4 linked regions of the Schizosaccharomyces pombe genome follow. The gene in region 1 interacts genetically with each later gene. Each region holds a gene or a part of one and is shown in the gene's direction. Other genes may lie near its edges. The genes, in order: mug62, xap5, dak1 and sfp1.

Evidence for each region.
Region 2: mutations in mug62 (region 1) and xap5 together harm fitness less than expected from each alone (positive genetic interaction), as found in Schizosaccharomyces pombe (one large-scale study listed by BioGRID).
Region 3: mutations in mug62 (region 1) and dak1 together harm fitness more than expected from each alone (negative genetic interaction), as found in Schizosaccharomyces pombe (one large-scale study listed by BioGRID).
Region 4: mutations in mug62 (region 1) and sfp1 together harm fitness more than expected from each alone (negative genetic interaction), as found in Schizosaccharomyces pombe (one large-scale study listed by BioGRID).

What each region holds. Positions count from the first base shown.
Region 1 is NC_003424.3:697,410-704,481, reverse strand, and holds mug62 (putative AMP binding enzyme), read left to right. Parts: upstream 1-1,726; coding exon 1,727-1,879; exon of another isoform or gene 1,880-1,924; coding exon 1,925-5,072; exon of another isoform or gene 5,073-5,118; coding exon 5,119-5,334; exon of another isoform or gene 5,335-5,377; coding exon 5,378-5,598; exon of another isoform or gene 5,599-5,640; coding exon 5,641-6,002; exon of another isoform or gene 6,003-6,040; coding exon 6,041-6,259; exon of another isoform or gene 6,260-6,304; coding exon 6,305-6,449; downstream 6,450-7,072. Other genes in the region: ATP-dependent DNA translocase Rdh54, read right to left, coding at 1-160, 202-277, 369-467, 515-693; GTP-binding protein involved in beta-tubulin folding Alp41, read right to left, coding at 6,414-6,554, 6,597-6,677, 6,716-6,861, 6,914-6,986, 7,027-7,072.
Region 2 is NC_003421.2:753,244-756,836, forward strand, and holds xap5 (splicing factor, xap-5-like protein), read left to right. Parts: upstream 1-2,008; 5' UTR 2,009-2,013; coding exon 2,014-2,162; exon of another isoform or gene 2,163-2,225; coding exon 2,226-2,943; 3' UTR 2,944-3,047; downstream 3,048-3,593. Other genes in the region: SPOM_SPCC1020.13C (DDHD family phospholipase), read left to right, coding at 1-46, 110-850, 892-1,388.
Region 3 is NC_003424.3:1,175,383-1,179,451, forward strand, and holds dak1 (dihydroxyacetone kinase Dak1), read left to right. Parts: upstream 1-1,537; 5' UTR 1,538-1,682; coding exon 1,683-3,425; 3' UTR 3,426-3,515; downstream 3,516-4,069. Other genes in the region: ept1 (CDP-alcohol phosphatidyltransferase class-I family protein), read left to right, coding at 1-399; exosome subunit Rrp40, read right to left, coding at 3,827-4,069.
Region 4 is NC_003424.3:4,431,353-4,436,478, reverse strand, and holds sfp1 (transcription factor Sfp1), read left to right. Parts: upstream 1-1,965; 5' UTR 1,966-2,846; coding exon 2,847-4,175; 3' UTR 4,176-4,610; downstream 4,611-5,126. Other genes in the region: SPOM_SPAC9E9.02 (uncharacterized protein), read left to right, coding at 566-862; SPOM_SPAC9E9.01 (uncharacterized protein), read right to left, coding at 1,278-1,540, 1,582-1,618; tRNA dihydrouridine synthase Dus3, read right to left, coding at 4,894-5,126.

The sequences.
Region 1 (7,072 bases):
CATGCCTCGGTTTGGGTAGTGCTGATATTGTCTGGTACATTGTGTTAGGTCTCAAAGGTGGCTTGAATTTACGCTTCATTTCAGGCATATGAACGTCTCGGAGAGAATCATCTATATGTGTGCCTGCTTCATAACTTTCTGCAGAGATTTCCTTCTCAATCTAAAGATGATGAGAAACATTCGCTTACATGTATATCTTACAGATATTTCTTTCCCGGAAATGCGAAGCAATTCTCCTTCTTTGATTTGTGGCACCCTCGAATGACAGGATCCGAGTCTTTAACATATATTAATAAAAAATATCTCTCAATAAAAGATGCTATATTGTTTGCGACTTCATTTTTAGTAAGTTCGACATGTAGGAATACCTTGTAAAATCTGAATTATAAAGAGTCAAATTTGAGTCTTCTCTAACGAGAAAGCCATCCCCTTCCCATGTTTTATGTTTCTTCATAGTAATTTTTCTCCTGACGCGTTTAGTCATGAAGTCAAAAAAGAGATTGTGCTACCATACCATACAACATTGTAATAAGCAATTTTGTTTATGTCGATATTTGATTTTCCTTTATGTTCATTTGCATTTTCAGATACTTCGTGTGAGGTAGTTGCTGTTTCTGTTTTGGTATAATTAGTAGATTGATGTTTTATGGTAGATTCAATTAATGGACATTGAAAAGTAGCTCTTCGTTTCATGTTCAGATTTCAGTTTTAATAAAGTAAGGTTTCAATTCTCTTTGGTAACTGTGTTTATTTACTCAACAATACTATGAGACCGAACGTGTGGTGTTCAAGTTAGACAAATGCAAGCAGTTCTGAAGCATGCGCGTAAAAATCGGTTAGTAATATTTTGCACTTCTAGGTACAATCATCATTTTGAACGTAATAAACATTAATAGTATCACACGTACTAAATTAAGGTCTCTTGCTTCTGTTCATATAATTTTTTTTATTACTAATTAACTTTCATCATGTTAAAGCAAAAAAGGCGGCAATTTGTAACTTATCATTAAATTTATAGCGTAAAATGTTTTAAATTAAATAAATTATCTACAATTTGCAAGAATGAATTCCCGCAAAATGTTTCTATTCAGGTATTGTTTCTTTTGACTAACAAGAACAGTTTCTGAAAGGTAGAATAAACAGCGATGAATATGGGGGTATTCAACTAAATTTGTCCATTGTTATCAACAAAATTTGCGAATGTTTACTTTTAATTAAACAAAGTTAGCGCATAATGCTTAGCCTGTTGTTATCACTTTTTTCTCAATCGTTATTAGTAAAGACAGGTTTCTTAGTTAATAAATTATATTAATTAGTACTGTTAGTTGTATGTTGCATCTGTAGTCTAGTGGTTATGATTTCTGCTTTACACGCAGACGGTCCCAGGTTCGATCCCTGGTAGATGCATCTTTTTTCGAAAAGCTGATACAATCCAACTTTTTGCGTTCTAATATGTATAAAAAAGATTGGTATTTACTGTTAATTTTGTAAAATTAATTGCGCACATAAATGAATAATGATGGGGAACAGGGATAGAGCATAGTCTTTCTAAATTTTTAAATTGAATTAGGATTTGTAAACTTAGTACACTTTTACTTCATTCAATGTTATTGTTTATCCTTAGTGAAGTCAATCAGGTAACAGGTAACATAAGCGATTTGTTTACATTTCTCATACAAGCTTTGGAATCCTCAATTCCTAACTGTATGCGAACGTGAGCCATAAAATGAGTCTAAAATCATTTTTCAACTTCAATAAGAAGACAAAACTGCATGACATAGAAGAGGATGTTATATCTGAAATTGGTTCTGCTGGTTCAGCCCTTCGAACAGATGCGCATATGCTGAAAGCAAACGATGTCTATTATAAAAGTGAAACGGTAAGAGTAATATAAAAAAAAATTACTAAATGCAAAAATTTCAAGGATAGTCATACTGTGCTGAGATTTATGAAACCTTCAGAAAACGAAAAAATCCATCCCGTAAGGCATTCGAAATATGAAGATAAAAGCAAGTTGCCTTTTGAGACAATACCAGACCCAGTGTTAAAATATGTGAAAAGAGCAAGGGATGCAGAGCTGCAACCACAATTGGCCAAAGTATCTCAGAAGCTGTTTGCAGATATATCAACTGCCACAGCAGCTGAAAAACTACAATTCACAGTTCCACGTAGAGCCAGATTTGAAATTAATGATCCACGAAATCCAACATTTTCAATGATGGCGCTGCAGGATATTATATCTGTCCTTGAGTATCGAAGAAATAAAAATCCAACTTCTACTGCTCATATTTGTATCGATAAAAAAGGGAAAGAAGCTGTGAGTTACAGTTGGGATAAAATCCTGAATAGAGCTAAACAATTTGCGTCTGTTGCGCAAAATCACGTTGGACTTAAACCTGGAACCAGAGTAATTTTATATTATCGAAAATCGGAAGCTTCAGAATATATTATTAGTATCTTTGGCTGTTTGTTGCTTGGAATAGTAGTAATTCCTTTGAGTCCTTCCTCATCTTCAGAAAGTCTCAAGTTGGTTGTCAATGAAGAAAAAGTTCGTGTCGCATTTACTACAGAGGCTACTTATCGTATCTTCATAAAAGATACAGAGGTGAATAATGCAAAAAGCCTTGCATGGTGGAAATCAAACGACTTTACAAACTACAAATTTGAACAAATCAAACAGTATCGGATGCGTGCGAATGACACAGTTCTCATTGATTACACGTTCAGCTCCTCGACCTATAATGATATTAAGGCTGTTTATACCACGAAAACATTTTTAAGTCAGATGAGAAATCTGACATCGTCCATGATAACCAATCCAGCTCGTCAAGCTGGATGGAAGCTCCATAATTTTGAGGATTCGAAAGATGTTCTCATTACCAATTTCCATCCATCTATGCCATTAGGATTGATCATGGGGGTATTCAACTCTGTGTTTGCAGGATATTGTACCATCTTTTGTGATGAAGAAGTACTAAAAACGCCAGGTTTATTAGCATATTTAATTACTAAATATCGATGTACATACAGTTTGTTTGATTATGCTGGACTGAAGCAGACAGTGTACAATTATCAGGAGGATCCTAAATCTACACTTTCATTTAAAAAAAATTATACACCGAACCTTTCGTCCTTGAAGTTGTGTATGGTTGAATGCGAAGTAGTAGACCCGGAATTCAACATTATAGTCTCAGATAGGTGGTTGCAACCTTTAGGTACCAATAATTCCAAAGAGGTAATCACTCCGATATTATGTTTGCGAAAGTTTGGTGGAATACCTATTTCATTCAAAGACTGGATGATCAGTTACACCAACAGACAGAAACATGAACGGCAAATGGCCGATACTTGTTATCAAGAGATCTTGGTATTAAAGAGTTCAATAGAAAAGGAAAAAGTGGAAATTGTTCCATTTCTAGATATCCGAAAATATTCTCCTAACGAAGTCCTTTGCATGTCTCCCTTTTGGTATCCAATCCCTGAGGCATCAGTGGCAGTTGTTAATGAAGATTCGAAGAATATATGCAAAGTTGGTGAAGTTGGAGAAATTTGGGTTTATTCTGATTGTCTTCCTAAGTTGAAAGCTGCTAGCGTGATTAACAACCCACAAGGGGAACAATTAACTGATTACGAAAACAACCAAGAAAATAAATTTGAAAAGAATAACTCATTCATGGATAGTGGTCTAAAAGGATTTTTGCATAACGAAAAGATTTTTGTTCTTGGAAACAAAGATGAACAAATCAGGCAATATCGGAAAACAATGGTCGCTGATAAGTTAATGGAAGAAAAATATGTACACTATTCTCATTACTTGATTAAAAAAATCATGAAATATGTTCCCGAAATTTTTGATGGTGTCGCCTTTGAAATAGAAATCGACAAAGCAGTTTACTCCGTTTTAGTACTTGAAAGTCCAATTATTAAGCGTTCGTTAATTCGAAATAATCGGCTTAAAGGAAGAGATTTGTTCTCAGAGTTGGTAAAAATAACAGAGAGCAGCTTCCAAGTCACTCAAGACATATTCAAATTAGATGTCCTAAGCATACTTATTGCTCCTTACAAATCATTACCTCGATCCAGGTATATGGGAATCCAAGCAATCAACACGAATAAGTGTAAACTGGCCTTTTTGTCAGGAAATCTTCCTGTATCCTATGTTAGGTTTTTCATGGATTCAGCATTACCAAAATCTAAAATTAATTTAAACAATTCAAAAGGAATTTGGTCAAAAGATGCCTCCAAACATCATAGAGAGATTATCTCTTTAAATGTTAAACAAAAGATGGATCCGTACAAGCATCAAAACAAAGTTAGTAAAGCACGAGAAAATCTGCTTAATCACTTTACTATCCTTGACTTTTTAAAAACCAAATCTGCAAAGACACCAACTTCACCTGCCATATTAACCTTTAATGCTATCGAAAAAACAAAAGTAGAGTTGACTTGGGCCCATTTTGAGCTGAAAGTTGCATCTCATGTTGAATATATGCAGTTATCAGTTAAAGCTAAAGCAAGATCACATATTTTACTTCTTTATTACGACCCATTAGAGTTTTTGATCAGCATACATAGCTGCTTTCACCTAGGGGTGATACCAATACCGTTTCAAATTCGTGAAATATCACAATTGATTGGGGAAATAGAAGAATTCACAAAAATTGCAAAGGCCTTCAATGTGGAAGCAATCCTTGTTGATCATAAAGTTCTTATATCTTTAAAATCCAGGGATATTTCAAATCACTTTCAACAAACTTGCATTGACCTCAACATGAAGGCACCCAAAATATTTGAAACTACTGGAATCCCCATTTCAAAACGTGCAAAAAAAGCATTGAATCTAATAACCCCGGGGGAATTGAATAATAAAGGGAAAGTCGCGCTAATTAGTATTAATAAGCTGGAAGATGGTTCCATCATCCCAACGCAATTTTCTCATTCTAGTCTTCTGGCATTTTGCCATGAACAAAAAGAATTTGTAATTGGAAATGAAGAAAAACCAATCATTGGTGGGATTGAATTCTCAAGTGGAATGGGCCTATTGCATACTGCCTTGCTTGGAGTATATGCAGGTAAATATTTTCAAAATGTGAAAAAAATAATTAACGCATATTATAGGAGTACCAACTTTATTGATAAAACAAGAAAACTTATGTAACAATGGTAGCCTGCTTTTTGAGGCTATCGAGCAAAACTCTTTATCAAAGGTTATGATTCCACTTAACATTTGTCAGAAAAGCTTTTCAACAGCTCAAGGTTGTAATAGCATTGTTATTAACTCCACTTTGTCAAGCATTATTGTGCCTTGCTACGACAGACCAATAAGTTCTAGAGGTAAGTAGGAAAACAGAAAGACGCATTTACTAACAAGACCTAGTTAATAGTATAATTGAAGATATCGCCAGAATTGGACTAGCTCCCAACAAGGTAAAATTGGCATACTCTCATCCGATCAATCCTTTCGTTTGTTGGAATGCGGATTCGAGCATGGAAAAAATGAAGGATTACTTTGATGCCAATCAGCTAAGAAGCGGTCTCGTAAACGTAAGAGAGGATGTCCTAAGAAACAGACAACCACTCCTTTATGGGTCCGGAACTGTACGTGAAAAGTATTAGGCAGCAATTTACTAATTAATATAGAGCACATTATACAATGAAATATGCATAGTTCACCCTGAAGAAAAATACATATGTCAAGAAGGAGAAATTGGAGAAATTTGGATTAACGGAAAGCACGGCTCATATTGTGAAAACAACGAACTCAACTCTGGATGCGAGCTTCTAGTGCAAGAGACATTAGATAAAAAGAGCTATTCGAGAACAGGGCAGTTAGGTTTCATTCATCATTTGAAGAAAAAAGACCAGAATATGGAAAAAGTTCCAGTTTTATATACTTTAGATTTCATATGGAATACGCTCGAATTAAACGGGCTTAACCATTCCGTAAAGGATATTGAAGAAACAATCGAATTAGTGCATCCCAACATTTGCACAGATGGGTGGTAAGTAGCATCACAAACTATAGAGGCTAATGTCACAGCATATTATTTCAAGCGTCAGGATCCGTAGTAATTCTTCTGGAAGTACATAGTCAGCAAAAATTCGCTAGCCTAATACCAATTATTGTTGCTACGGCTTTGGCAGCACATGAAATCATACTTGATTGTGTTGCCTTCGTACCGAAAGGAACATTTTTGCGTCGTCCAACTGGTGAGAAAAGGAGAGCAGACATCCTAAAACAATGGACTGGAGGAGACCTGTAAGTGATCTTTATTAATGAGAAGCCTAAATAACAATATTTTAGGAAACACATGACAAGCTATTTAATTCGACAGGACTTTCTTCTCAACGAAGATTTTGTAGGTACTGAGTTGATTGGAACAACCGATTCTTACGATTACTCGGATGAAAACTTAATAATCAATAGTTCCCAACTTAATCTCCTTTAGATCATTAGCAAGCCAGCTTATCGCGTCTTTGATATTAAGGCCCGTTAATGCTGAAACCGAAAAAATCCGCCAATGCGATGATTTATATTTAGAAATATTTAATATCTTGACTTGTTGTTAGCTTGGATTCATAAATTGTAAACTGACTTTGCTAATTTCTTCGGATGAAAGTGCGCCGGAAACGTCAGACTTATTAGCGAGAACCAAAATTGAAGTAAACAAAAGTTTCTATATGCATGTTAAGATAATTCACATTTTCAGCCTACCTCTTCTACCAACAATTCTTGTAATGTATTTCTGCATTCTTCTAAACGTAAATCATCCAAGCTGTCAACAACCCAAATAATTGCTTCGGTTGATTCAAAGTAATTTTTCCAAAAATTTCTTAGCGTTTTCTGCCCCCCAATGTCCCCTTGAATTAGTAAGCTTAAGACTGTTCATTTCGAAAATTGCAAGCTACGTACATATCGTGAATCGGAGTCCTTCTACTTCAAGCGTTCGAATTTGAAAGCCAAAGGTAGGCGAAACTTCATTTACCTATCAATCGATAAATTATGGAGCCTTAAAAGATACTTACATCCTCGTTCAACAGGCACTTCAAAATTGTCGTTTTACCTGCATTA
Region 2 (3,593 bases), on another chromosome or scaffold:
CTTTTTTTGGTGGTTCATGGTATCGGTCAAAAAAGATCAGAGACTGGTAAGTAAACTTGATTTTTTTTTATCTTACACCGGCATTCAATTACTAATGTTGACAATATAGAGGAACGATTCTTATTTACCAAGACGTGCAACGTTTTTCGTTCATTGATCCAAATTCAGAAAAACATAATGAAAGAGGATCCGTTGATTCGAAACGATTATGAACCACAACTTCTTCCGATATGTTGGAGAAATAAGCTTAATTTTAATTCATATATAAAGCCAGTTGCCGGTGATGAAGGACGGGTTGAGGATGAAGAATTTGAAGAAAATCGATTTTCAATTGAGGATATTGAAATTGATAGCATTCCAGCGGTGCGAAGGTTATTAGGAGATGTGATGAGTGATATTCCCTATTATATGTCTCATCACAAAGAATCCATTATAAAGTCTGTAATTCGTGAAGCTAATAGGGTTTACCATTTGTGGAAGGACTGCAATCCTTACTTTTTAGAAAACAAGGGCCGTATCTTTATAATTGGGCATTCTTTGGGCTCCACAGTTGTTTTTGATATTTTGTCACTTCAACCCACTTTTGTCAAAGAAATTACTATAGACGATGATGAAAGCTGCTTTATATTCGACACAAACGGTTTTTTTTGTTTTGGTGGTCCGGTAGGTTTTTTTTTGCATTTGAATCAACAAAGTATTATTCCTCGTCGTGGAAGAGGCTCATCAAGATACGAAATAAATAAAAACTTTATAAATTCTGATGTTCCAAAGTCATATACTTACGATGGTTATGATCGGTACGGATGTCTCGCAGTCGACTCTTTTTATAACATCTATAATCACCTTGATCGTAAGCGCATCATTAAATTATCGTATTTACTAACAAATTAGCCGTTGCGATGCGATTAAATCCCACAGTGGATCTCTCATTTTCGAAAGGCATCCACCCAACTCGTATACTGTTCACAAGAAAATCTTCAAGTATTTTGAGAATGATCTCACATTCTAATACTGATCCTGTGGAACTTCGAAGTTACAATCAATCTTTGCAGCAAAATAAAAACAATGAGCCCACAGCAGTGGTCCCACTGGAGCCTGAACAGACTGTCGAGTTAGAGACTCGCAATTTTCGCAGAGAAGAAAGGGCCAAGTGGCGCATGCAAGAGTTGAATGAAAACTCTCAGTTGGACTACGTATTTACGAGTGCCCATGGGGTCATTTCAAACAAATATCTTTCTATGCTTTCGGCTCATAGCAGTTACTGGAGTAGTGAGGATCTTGCTTGCTTTTTAGTAGTGGAAACTGGCCGAAACTTTGGTATTGCCAATTCAATTGAGCAATTTCGTGGAAAGCATATGCCACGTATATTCAAAGGGGACAGCTCTTGAAAATTTTCTTTTTATTTTATCTGACAGTATACCAGCGAGCTTCATATTTATTAGCGATGCGAAGTGGACAAATTAAAATGAATTTGATGAACATTGGATAATGATGATTTTTTAGGATCACTTTAATGACTTTATATATTGGCATTCGAAAGATGGTTTTGCATTCAATGACCAGATACGAAAATTTATTAGAGTATTTATAGCAACACTAGTGATTAGCTAGTTTTTTTTTTGTTTTTAATCTATTGCTATTTTTCCAAAGCTTGTTAATACAAACGAGTAATTCGTTTTATTTGTCTCTAGATTGGTTTTAAAAAGTGTCTATACAAGCAGTTAAAGATTACAGAATGCTTCAAAGTGCCCCACCTCGTTGTTATTCTATTTAATAACCGTTTTGACAAATATAAAAAACTTATATGCAACGTGACTTTGGCAAAGTGTGCGTTTATTCTAGGATCCCTCATAGGTAAATGTAAAAAACATGTTCTTCTTCTACGATAAATATAGTAATAGTCATTTCTTTCATTTTGAGATTTGAAAACCGAGGCAAAAAAAGGGTATTTTGGGTATTCAAGCTTATTTGGAAGAACGCTCACCACTCACGTTTTTTTGAATTCTTCATACAATGAGCGGCCATACTGATGCCGATGAAATTCATGAGATTTTACGAAATAGTACGACTGGTTTAGTCCATTTAAAGGATTATCAAAGAGTAAAACAAAACATCGTTGAAAAACGAGAGAAACATGCGCTATCAACCACAAGTACTAAAATGTAAGTGAAAAGAACGAGAAAAGCCCGATAGTATTCTAAATATGACTGACAATTCAATTTTAGAAAAAAGAGAAAAGATGCTTTAAGCAAAAAGGTCAAACAGGGCATTAAAGTTAACAAAGGAAAACTTTCTTTTGGTGAAGATGAAGAACTGGAGAATGATGATCTACCTTTAAAAAAAGTTGAGAAAAAAATGTTTATGGGAAAGGATCCATCTGCGGATACCTCCTTTTTGCCAGATGCAGAGCGAGAAATACGTGAAAACGCGAAGCGAGCCGAATATCGCAAACAATGGCTAAAAGAGCAGGAGCAAATTCGGGAAAAAGAGATTTTGATACCATTTATCTATTACGATGGAACAAGTACCACTTATCATGTAAGGACTAGATTGAAAGATTCGGTTGGACACTTTCTTGCTGATATGAAACAGCAAATCCCATTTTTGAAGAGGATTCTGGATATGGATAAATTTTTACTGGTTCAATCTGATTTAATCATTCCCCATCACCATGAGCTTTACTACTTTTACATTAATAAAGTTCAAGGACGTGATGGACTTTTATTTGACTTTGATAAGCTGTCATGCTCTAGTCCAGAAATGGTTGCAACTACACAACTTCCTTCTCAATGCATTCCTCATCTAGTTCAAAAATCATATTATTTACAAAATCGCCATGTGTTTCCATGTGTGCATTGGGAAGTCTTTGATTCTCGAAAAGATTATTCATTGGAAAAGCATGCAACTGATCCTAACGCTGCATTATTTTACCGGCCCTCATAATGCCTTTTAAAAAGTTTTCGATTTTTTTTCTCTTGGTTCTTTATTTTTGTTTTGCATACTCATACTTCCCTCATCGACTAATTTAATAACAATTTCATTACAACTATATTGTTTTTATGTTTGTATTTTAAACAAATGAATTGCGCCAAACATATAACTTGATAAGCTATACAAAGAGAGAGACTTTGGTAAAAAAGAAACAGATATTATCCACTAAGTATTCGCAATGGGTTTTAGTATTTACACTTACTACTCTCAACATCACTCCAACCTTGACTGAAAACCTTGATTTCATTGATGTGCTATAGGATATTGTAAAATAAAGTAATTAAAAAATTAGCAATTCGCTTTTGGAATTATTAAATGTTTCCTTTATTATTGAATTCTCATATTTCTGCTTGTTTTTATTTAATGTATCGCAGCGTTGGTATGCAAATACATAGTATTTGATCATAAACATATTAACGATACGTTAATTTGCGGTGGATTATACTGTGCTATTTAGGTATACAATTTTTGGTAAAGAAAAAAGTGATCGTGACTGAATGATGAGAATAACTATTCTATTGTAAATAAGAAATGAAATTCGCTTTTCGTTCTCTTGGAAGTATAAGCATGTCGCTTTTACGAATGTTCACGAGTCTCTAATC
Region 3 (4,069 bases), 480 kb from region 1:
AAAGCATTGAGTGGTATCCTTCCCTATTTCCTCCAATGGATGGCTGTCTTTTCACTCTATGCCAAGTATCCTGCTTTCTTTGAACATCATTTCCTCACTATTTTTTGCTTGAACGCTTTTATCTTTGCTTATTCGGTTGGAGTGGTAATTGTTTCTCACATTACCGAATCTCCCTTCCCATACTGGAATGTGCTTATTCTTCCATTCTTGGTGGATGCCGTGGACGCCTATACTTTTGGCGTATTAAAAAACGTTCAGACGGAATACTTTTTTTGCTACGTTGGAATTTGCATTGGTGTTTACGGCAACTTTGTTGCACATGTCATTGCCATGATTACGGAAGAGTACGGCATTAAATGTTTGACTATTCCATCCAAACCAGAGTCCAAGAAGAATTGAACTAGATGATGATGGTTTGGACAGAATAGAGATGAGAACAAAAGGGTCCAGAGAGATTTTGTCATTGATAACCTTTCGGTCGATCTTTTGTTCTGCAATGTATCTAACGGATCAGAAGTATCAAAATGATCCATTTCCTAGTAGACAGGTTTTTTTCGGTTGTGTGTTTTCTGCCAACAATATGTTACTTTTGTTTGTTTTCCTGCTGTAGTAATAAAAGTTGGTTTTTTTACCAGAACATAATAATGAACAAGTATTTCACTTGCGACTTCGTTCACTAAATGATCCAGCCTTTCGTATCCTTTTAACTAACTGTATATACTGATGAACAAATGGTCCATTTGTCTTCTACACTGCAAACTTGCTTTTCACCGTGGAATACCGGGGCTGCACTAACTAAGATGACTGGTTCCACATGTGCAGACCGGAGCACTTTTCGACAACCTTCTTTTAATTAAGGTTCTTATGGCAGTTCGTAACGATTTAACAATTTCAATAAATAGCCATCGTCCTGTCCCATTGCTTCTTTGGGCATTGGTAGAGTTTGCCCTTTTAAGGCAATCTTTTGCTACATAAAGGTGACTCAAGTTTACGCTGCGATTTTACTACTTTTCTAGCATATGATCTACAAAAGGTCAGCGAAATTTTTCTTTGACTAGGAAAATGGATTGAGGTCATCTTCGGCAAGGCAAGCTGATATTTAATTTAATTGTTCATATCGGCAACATTTCGTAATTAGTTGAAGGGTATGAAAAACGGTTCTACGGTTATCTAGATGTGTTTATTCACTGTTTCAGCATAATATCACTTCCGTTACGTGCGGGGCACTTCGTCATGCAAATTGGTGGTTATATAGTATATATAGAGAGACAAGGCCAGCATTATTAAATCGTCTTCAAGCTCCCTTTTTCCGCTACACTCATAACTTTTACGAAATAGCGAAACGAAAACGAGACATAACGTAACGAAACGAAACGTTTACTAGTATATTCTTGGTTTATTTATTTTGTATTTAAACCAGTTGAAGCATAGTAGCGTATAAAGTGTTAATTTTTTCGCATTGAAGGGAATTTTGATATTAATATTTTGAGATTTTAGAGACACATAGATTTATTTCTTTAATCCTTTACTCACACTTGCACTTCCCCACCACCTAAAACAAGTCATTTTATATTCTTAGATCATAAATTTCGGGAATATTTGATTTAACTATCCAACTTATATTTAATTTTATTTTAAGGCTTTATTCTCTTTTTTTTACCTTTTTCTTATTATTCTAAAATATGGATAAGCACTTTATCAACGATCCTGAAGTCCTCGTCCTTGATGGCCTTAAATCCTTGGCCGACATGAACAAAACTTTAACTGTTCATGAAGAGGGAAAATTCATCTATTTCCATGACTACAACAAAAAGAATGTCAGTGTCATTTCCGGCGGTGGTGCTGGTCATGAACCCACTCATTCTTCGTTCGTGGGCAAGGGTATGCTTACTGCCGCCGTCTCAGGCTCCATTTTTGCTTCTCCTTCGTCAAAGCAAATTTATACCGGTATTAAGCAAGTCGAATCTGAGGCTGGCACCTTGGTAATTTGCAAAAACTACACCGGTGACATCCTTCACTTTGGTATGGCCTTGGAGAAGCAAAGAACGGCTGGTAAGAAGGCTGAACTTATTGCCGTTGCAGATGACGTATCAGTAGGTCGTAAGAAGAGCGGTAAGGTCGGACGTCGTGGTTTGTCTGGTACTGTTCTTGTTCACAAAATCGCTGGTGCAGCTGCCGCCAGAGGGTTACCTTTGGAAGCCGTTACGACCATTGCTAAGGCTGCTATTGACAATTTGGTTAGTATCGGTGCTTCACTCGCTCACGTTCACGTCCCTGGTCATGAGCCAATTGCAAAAGAAGATGAAATGAAACATGATGAAATGGAACTTGGAATGGGTATTCACAATGAACCTGGATGCAAGCGTATTTCCCCTATTCCCTCTATTGATGACCTAATCGCTCAGATGCTTAAGCAAATGTTGGATCAATCCGACAAGGACCGTGCCTATGTAAAGATTGAGGGTGACGATGAAGTAGTCTTACTTATGAATAACCTTGGTGGTCTTTCCATGCTTGAATTCAGTGCCATTAGCCACAAGGTGAAGGAAGCATTGGCTAAAGAATACAAAATCAACCCCGTTCGCATCTTTGCCGGTCCATTTACCACCAGTTTGAATGGCTTGGGTTTCGGTATCACTTTGCTCCGTACCACTGACCGCGTCAAAGTCGAGGGCGAAGAATACTCTTTGGTTGATTTGATTGACCAACCTGTTGAAGCTATCGGATGGCCTTTGTGTCAACCCTCTGACTTGAAGTCCAAAAACAAGATTGGCAATGTCAGCATCGAGGAGGGTCAGAAGGATGTCAAGTCTCCCGTTACTGTCGATAAGGAGAAGGTTCGTCAGGCGATTGTCAATTCGATGGAGAATCTCATCAAAGCAGAGCCTAAAATTACAAAGTTCGATACGATGGCTGGTGATGGTGACTGTGGTACTACTTTGAAGCGTGGTGCTGAAGGTGTTTTGAAGTTTGTTAAATCCGACAAATTCTCTGACGATCCTATTCGTATTGTTCGTGATATCGCAGATGTTATTGAAGACAATATGGATGGTACATCTGGTGCTTTGTACGCCATTTTCTTCCATGGCTTTGCGAAGGGCATGAAAGACACCTTGGAGAAGAGCAAGGACATTTCATCTAAGACATGGGCTGCTGGTTTGAAGGTTGCTCTTGATACTCTTTTCAAGTATACTCCCGCTCGTCCTGGTGACAGCACTATGTGTGATGCTCTTGTTCCATTTGTCGAAACATTTGTTAAAACTAATGATCTTAATGCTGCCGTAGAGGAGGCTCGTAAAGGTGCTGATGCTACTGCAGATATGCAAGCCAAACTTGGACGTGCTGTCTACGTTGGTGATGATGTTAAAGTTCCCGATGCCGGCGCTCTTGGTGTCGTTGCAATTGTCGAAGGATTTACGAAATAATTGGATACGAAATTTTTTTGGGATTGTAGAATTGGTATGATCTTAAAAACTATTTACGAGCACGAATAACAATTATATTTTCATTATGCATGCATTAATTATTGCTTACTTATCTTTGCATCTGTATTTGTATATTCATGCATTATAATAAGTAATTTTTTAATTAAAACAGTTGAGAAAGGACGAGTGTAGATATTGTATGAACACGCTGCTGTAATAAATAAAAGAACGACAGAAATTGTATGGGAATATTAGACACAGGCATTAAAGAAGAAACAATACACTTTATTCAGAAATGGTCCCTCCTAGATAAGGGCAAACCATTTTTGAATTAAACCCAATTGGACAAGAATTGTTAAATAGACTGTGCATATTATTCAAATTTTTTTTTCTGAATCTCGTTAGAGCTTTTTAATAAGGTCTTTACAGTACTTTATTTGCTCTTCATCAGACATGAATTCGCAATTTCTGATAGCTGTACAAATGAGGACCGTAGTAGAAAGATTTTCAGAATTGACCCAAACGCGACCATTCATTCCAACAGCAATTTCGAAAGGAATGTAGCTTCCTAGGGTCTGTAAAAGTGTATTTTTAGGAAGGATCAACTTCCTACAATGAGATAAAGATAAACCTGTTATCATATA
Region 4 (5,126 bases), 3.7 Mb from region 1:
ATAGGAAGAATTGAATCTGTCTCACTTGAATTGTATGCGACAATGTCGTTTTGATGTTGTTGACCCATACTCTCTTGACACTTGTTTACTAATGTCATTTTTTCATTTTTTTCTCATAGACGATAGATTACTCCTTGGGATGTATGAATTTCTTTATCGTTTTCTTCAATTATTAATCCTATCAAATTGTCTGTAGTTTTTCATTCATGAACCAAGTCAGAATCACTTTTATCTTGGTCCTTGTTCATATCCCTTCGCTTGCCATAGCGCCAGCGCCCTTGACATCATGGTAGAGTGTGTTTGATATAGAAGCATCATAAACTATCCAATGGCCAGAACCCTAGAAGATTGCTGAGAAATGTAATTAAAACGTTGTAAATTCATTGCCTTTGGTATTGAGTGTGATGCCTGCGAATTTCATCTTTTCAACTACTGACCTAAGTGTGGTGGATATGTGGACAAATGATGGGATTGTTAAATAATGAAAATGATGCTTAAGAGTTTCTGGAAGAAAACGAAGAATTGATAGATTGGACATTTGACGTTGACTTTCCATTTCTATATAATGGATGTGGATTTCGCTAATGCCAAACACAAACTGCATTGTTTATTAAAAAAAAATTTCCTCTTAACGATTCGATTCAGTTCATTGGTTTCAATACAATACATCCCATTCTCCAATCGTTTGTATGAAATCATCAGTATTGCTCTAAATCCTTGCAATTTTTCTAAAAGTCTTTTTTGGTTACGAAAAAAAATAAAAAACTCCGTTCTGTTAAAAACTTCCTTTGATTCTAACGAAACAATTTTTTTTTTATATTCTCTTCATCGTTGTGTGTATTATCTTTTCATTTATCTGTGATAATACCGATTCTTTATTTATTTATTTACTTAGTTATATACTTGTTATTCCATTCTGTTCCTTTGTTAGTTACTGATCTTCACCTTACTTTCAATCATTTTCTTTTGGGTTGTTGTAAGGTTTATATATTTGGTTTATCTTGTACGATAGTTTGTTTTTTTCTTCATTCGCAAGCTATTCTATCTAGATATTTTTTTAGCTCCATTTCCTATAAGCTTTAGTTTTTCTTTTCCCTTTTCCCGTCTAATTTTTTCTTGTAAAATCGCTAGACGTCCATTTTCATTTTCTTGTTTGCTTGTCTTTTTACATCTCTTCCAAAAATATCCGTCTTCTCTTTACTAGCACAAAGAAGAGAAATATCCTTCCTCCATTTCAATTAAACGACGATATTTCTTTCATTTCATAGTCGTTTACTTTACCAATTAACCCTTGAAAGGACATTGTATCTCGCAAATTCCTTGAGTTTGCTTTCCCGGTAAATTTGGTATAACCGACAACGATCTTCATTGTCTGCCTCCATCCATTCCCCATTAGCTGCTTCACAACGTGACCAGACTGCGAACCCTGCCTCAAGTTTGATTACCGAACCAACATTTGAATCGCTAAACGTTTTTAGCCGCTTCGATTTTCCGAGAAACACATAAACAAAGATTGTGTGTGTTACTGTACCCGTGTGCACTTGACCGTATATTAGGACACTATAACGCTAAGCTGCGTACCGCTTAATTCTGCACTGAGCTCCAAGCCATCCGCCATCGTTCATTTGCGACCCTTTGTCTAGAAACTATTCGCCCCTTGTCTTCGGCCCCATCTATTGGAAGTAACGACCTTCCGATACGGCACTGACGAAGTTGCATTGTTACCCCTAATTACTTTGATCCAAGTTCGATCCACTCTGTGTACTCTGATTGGCTTTCTTATATTTAAGGGCCCCTCATTAGGTGTTTAAGTCTGAAAGCTTCACTGTTATTCGCTCGCATAGTCGGCGTCACTGTTACTTGACCCTTTTATCCTTGTTACCTTTATACATACGTAACGAGAAGGCTTGCTAAATCACCTTATCAATTACTACTTAAACACCGTCCTACCCTTCTTAACGCCTTATTCTGACTAACTTCAACGTGAGGACGACACGAAGGAAGCAGAAGCAAATATACTTACTTAACTTAAGGGAGTTAGTACAATCATAGAATTGTTGTTGAATACCATATATTCAACTTAAAAAAAATTAAACATATTTATAAAAAAAATTCGCTTGCAACATATATTGCGTCCACTAGTTGCCTGCAAAAAAAAGATTACTCTTTTGAAGTATCACCACTCTTTTCGATTGATCTCGATTGTTCATTGAATCAAAGCGTAAATTATTTACTATTTCGCTTTATTTTAAAAAAAAGTCGAATCGAACAGTTTCCTCGACTCGATTCGTTATTACTTGACTTTCTTTGTTGATTAAAAAGGATTCTTTAAAAGGTTTTTACTCCCTTTCTTTTCATCTTATTTATATTATACATTTATCATCCGTTAATCGCCAATTTGTTTAGACTGAAAAAATTAGATAAGTCACTTTGGGGTTTCCACTTAAAACATTACAATACACTAATTACACTTGGGTAATTTAGTGCTTAAAAATAGTTTACCTTCATTTTTTTGCTTGGTAAATTCTTCTTTTAGAAACTTTTTCCTTTTTTTTTCGAATTTATAGTTCGTCGAATTTCATTAGATTTTACATTCAGTCTTTTTTTAATTGCCTTTTTTTACCCCTCTCAGCGCTCTCTAAGAACTTGCCTTCCTTAAGTCGAGTTTTCTAAGTGCATTATTCCCTGATTTCTCAAAAAATAACTTACTAAATTATTTTGTTATTTTTATTCTATTTTTTCATCATTGGTATATAATTTTTAATTTGGTTTCTATTTATCGGTTTATCTTTTAATTTTCTCTTTTATCTCTTTAATTTTATTAATTCCCTTAAAAACTTTTCAATATGCCATCTCTCGCATTGCCTATCAATAAGCCTTCCCATCACAATGTCAACTACAACGGAAATTCCTTTAACAGCATTCATGCTACCTCTTTTGGAATGAGTCCACAGTCTTGGGGAAATAGCTTTAGTGGACAAGCTTGGCTTCGTGATACTATTCCATCTCTTTCTAACGTGGTTGAGTCACAAACGATTCCCGAAGAGGATTCTACCTCTTATCTAAACCGGTTAGAAGAAGCATTTTGCCGTGATTTCCGCTGCTGTGGTCAAACTCTCGAAGATTTGCATCAACTTATTCACCATTATGAAGAGCAGCACGCCGTTCTGGCAACTGATTCTGCTGTTCCTCAAGAATATTCTTTGGATAGCAACAACGCTGCTCAATCTAATCATTCTCATATTCAAGCGCTCAAACAGCGTGAGCGCATCCGTATGCATGATCTTGCTGATCAGCTTGGAACTTCTGAAATTTCTGATAATTCTGCTGTTTTACCATTTGCCTTTCCTGCTAACGGTGGTGCTCCTGGCCCTTACCGCGTTTCCGTTGTCGTACCTGCCGCTGCTGCTGCTGCTGCTGCCGCTGCCAGCTCCGACATGAGCAGTGACGAGGCCAGTAGTCAAGCAGAGACAACTGGTACCCCGAAAAAGATGCCTGAATCATTGGTAATGGATGCAAGCTCCCCTCTCAGTGACATGAGCATGTCTATTGACGTTGGTGAGTCCGCTGCCAATAATGTTTTTGCGTTCAATCAAAAGGACATGGTTGACTCTACATATCTTCCCCCATTCAATTACGATCACGATGTTTTTTCATTTGCTCCATCTGTCGCATCCGCCGATCAATTCACAGAGTCTAGCATGTCTCCTACTCCTGAAGTAGTTTCACCCGCAGCCACAAACTCAGCAATCTCATCCCCATTTGTTAGGAAATCTTCTAGTGATTTGGAAGCTAAGCCATCTAAAAAGCAGCGTTCTACTCCTGCATTCTCACACGATTCACCGCTCACTATTGATTACCCAGGCTCTAACTTGGTGGTTGTAGACAAGCCATACAAATGCCCTGTCCCTAATTGTGATAAGGCTTATAAGAATCAAAATGGTTTGAAGTATCACAAACTTCATGGACACTGTTCCCCCATTACTACTCCAACACCAGCTCCAATTCCTCATCAAGGGTTTGTTGTGGAAAACAAGCCTTATCGCTGTGAAGTTTGTAGTAAAAGATATAAAAACTTAAACGGTTTGAAATATCATCGTACACATAGTCATCTACAAGTGTCTATGGCCCAAGCTCAACGGGAAGTTCAAATGAACTTTATGCGCACCGCATAAATATGCTCTTTTTTGCCTTTGTAATATTTGAACATGAGATTTGTATCTCAGTTTCGTATCTTCAAGTTTGAATACTTTTATGTCTATCTTTGCTTTTAAGTTTGAGAAGGGTAGACATGTTGTGTGGAGTTTGCTTGATGTTTACGGGCTTGCATTTATCTGCATACAACAATCGAATTAGCTGTAAAGTGAACCTGTCTCCTTTGATTCATTCCCGTTAATTTTGCACTTACTTTATTACCTACATGATGGCTGTGTTTGTTTTGTTTGCTTTTTTTTTGTTTTTTAATTTTTTGTTTTGTCATTTTGGGATTCTGGATTTTTAATGGTTTTTATTGTGTATTAAGTTATTTTTGTACCAAATATCCTCTTGCTGTTATTATTATACCTTTTAAGTTAATAAATATGTATGGCAGTGTTATTTACCATATATTTGCTAAGTTATTTCACAACGTAGTTTCGATAGTAATTGTAGAGTACTGTAAGATCGTTGGTTAGTTCCCATTGGGTAAGTTGACTATATAACGTTAGATTCATTACCAATTTGCCTAGTCATTTGCGCATTTTACGAGACAAACACAGATCACTCGTATATAAGTCACCAGATATTTTATTAATCTACTTAATTCAATCCAGATGATAAGCCAGTATTAAGTATGAAAAGTTGATGATGCATATGAAGAAAGTGAATGCTCGATACACTAAGACCATAAGTTGTTTATCCCTCTGCCTCTTCCACACTATTGCTTTTGTGCTTTGGTGTAAAGGTGAATCGCTCAGGAGTAGGACCTAGGAAGAACTCACTCAATTTAACCCAGTCCGTAACTTTATTACTGGCCAAGAGAGTTTCCATCTCATCTCTCGCGGTATATAGAGGCGGTCTATCATTTAATCTGGGCCTTTGAACTTCGTACAAAGCTATAGGTGTATAACGATGGAAAAAGCTCATAA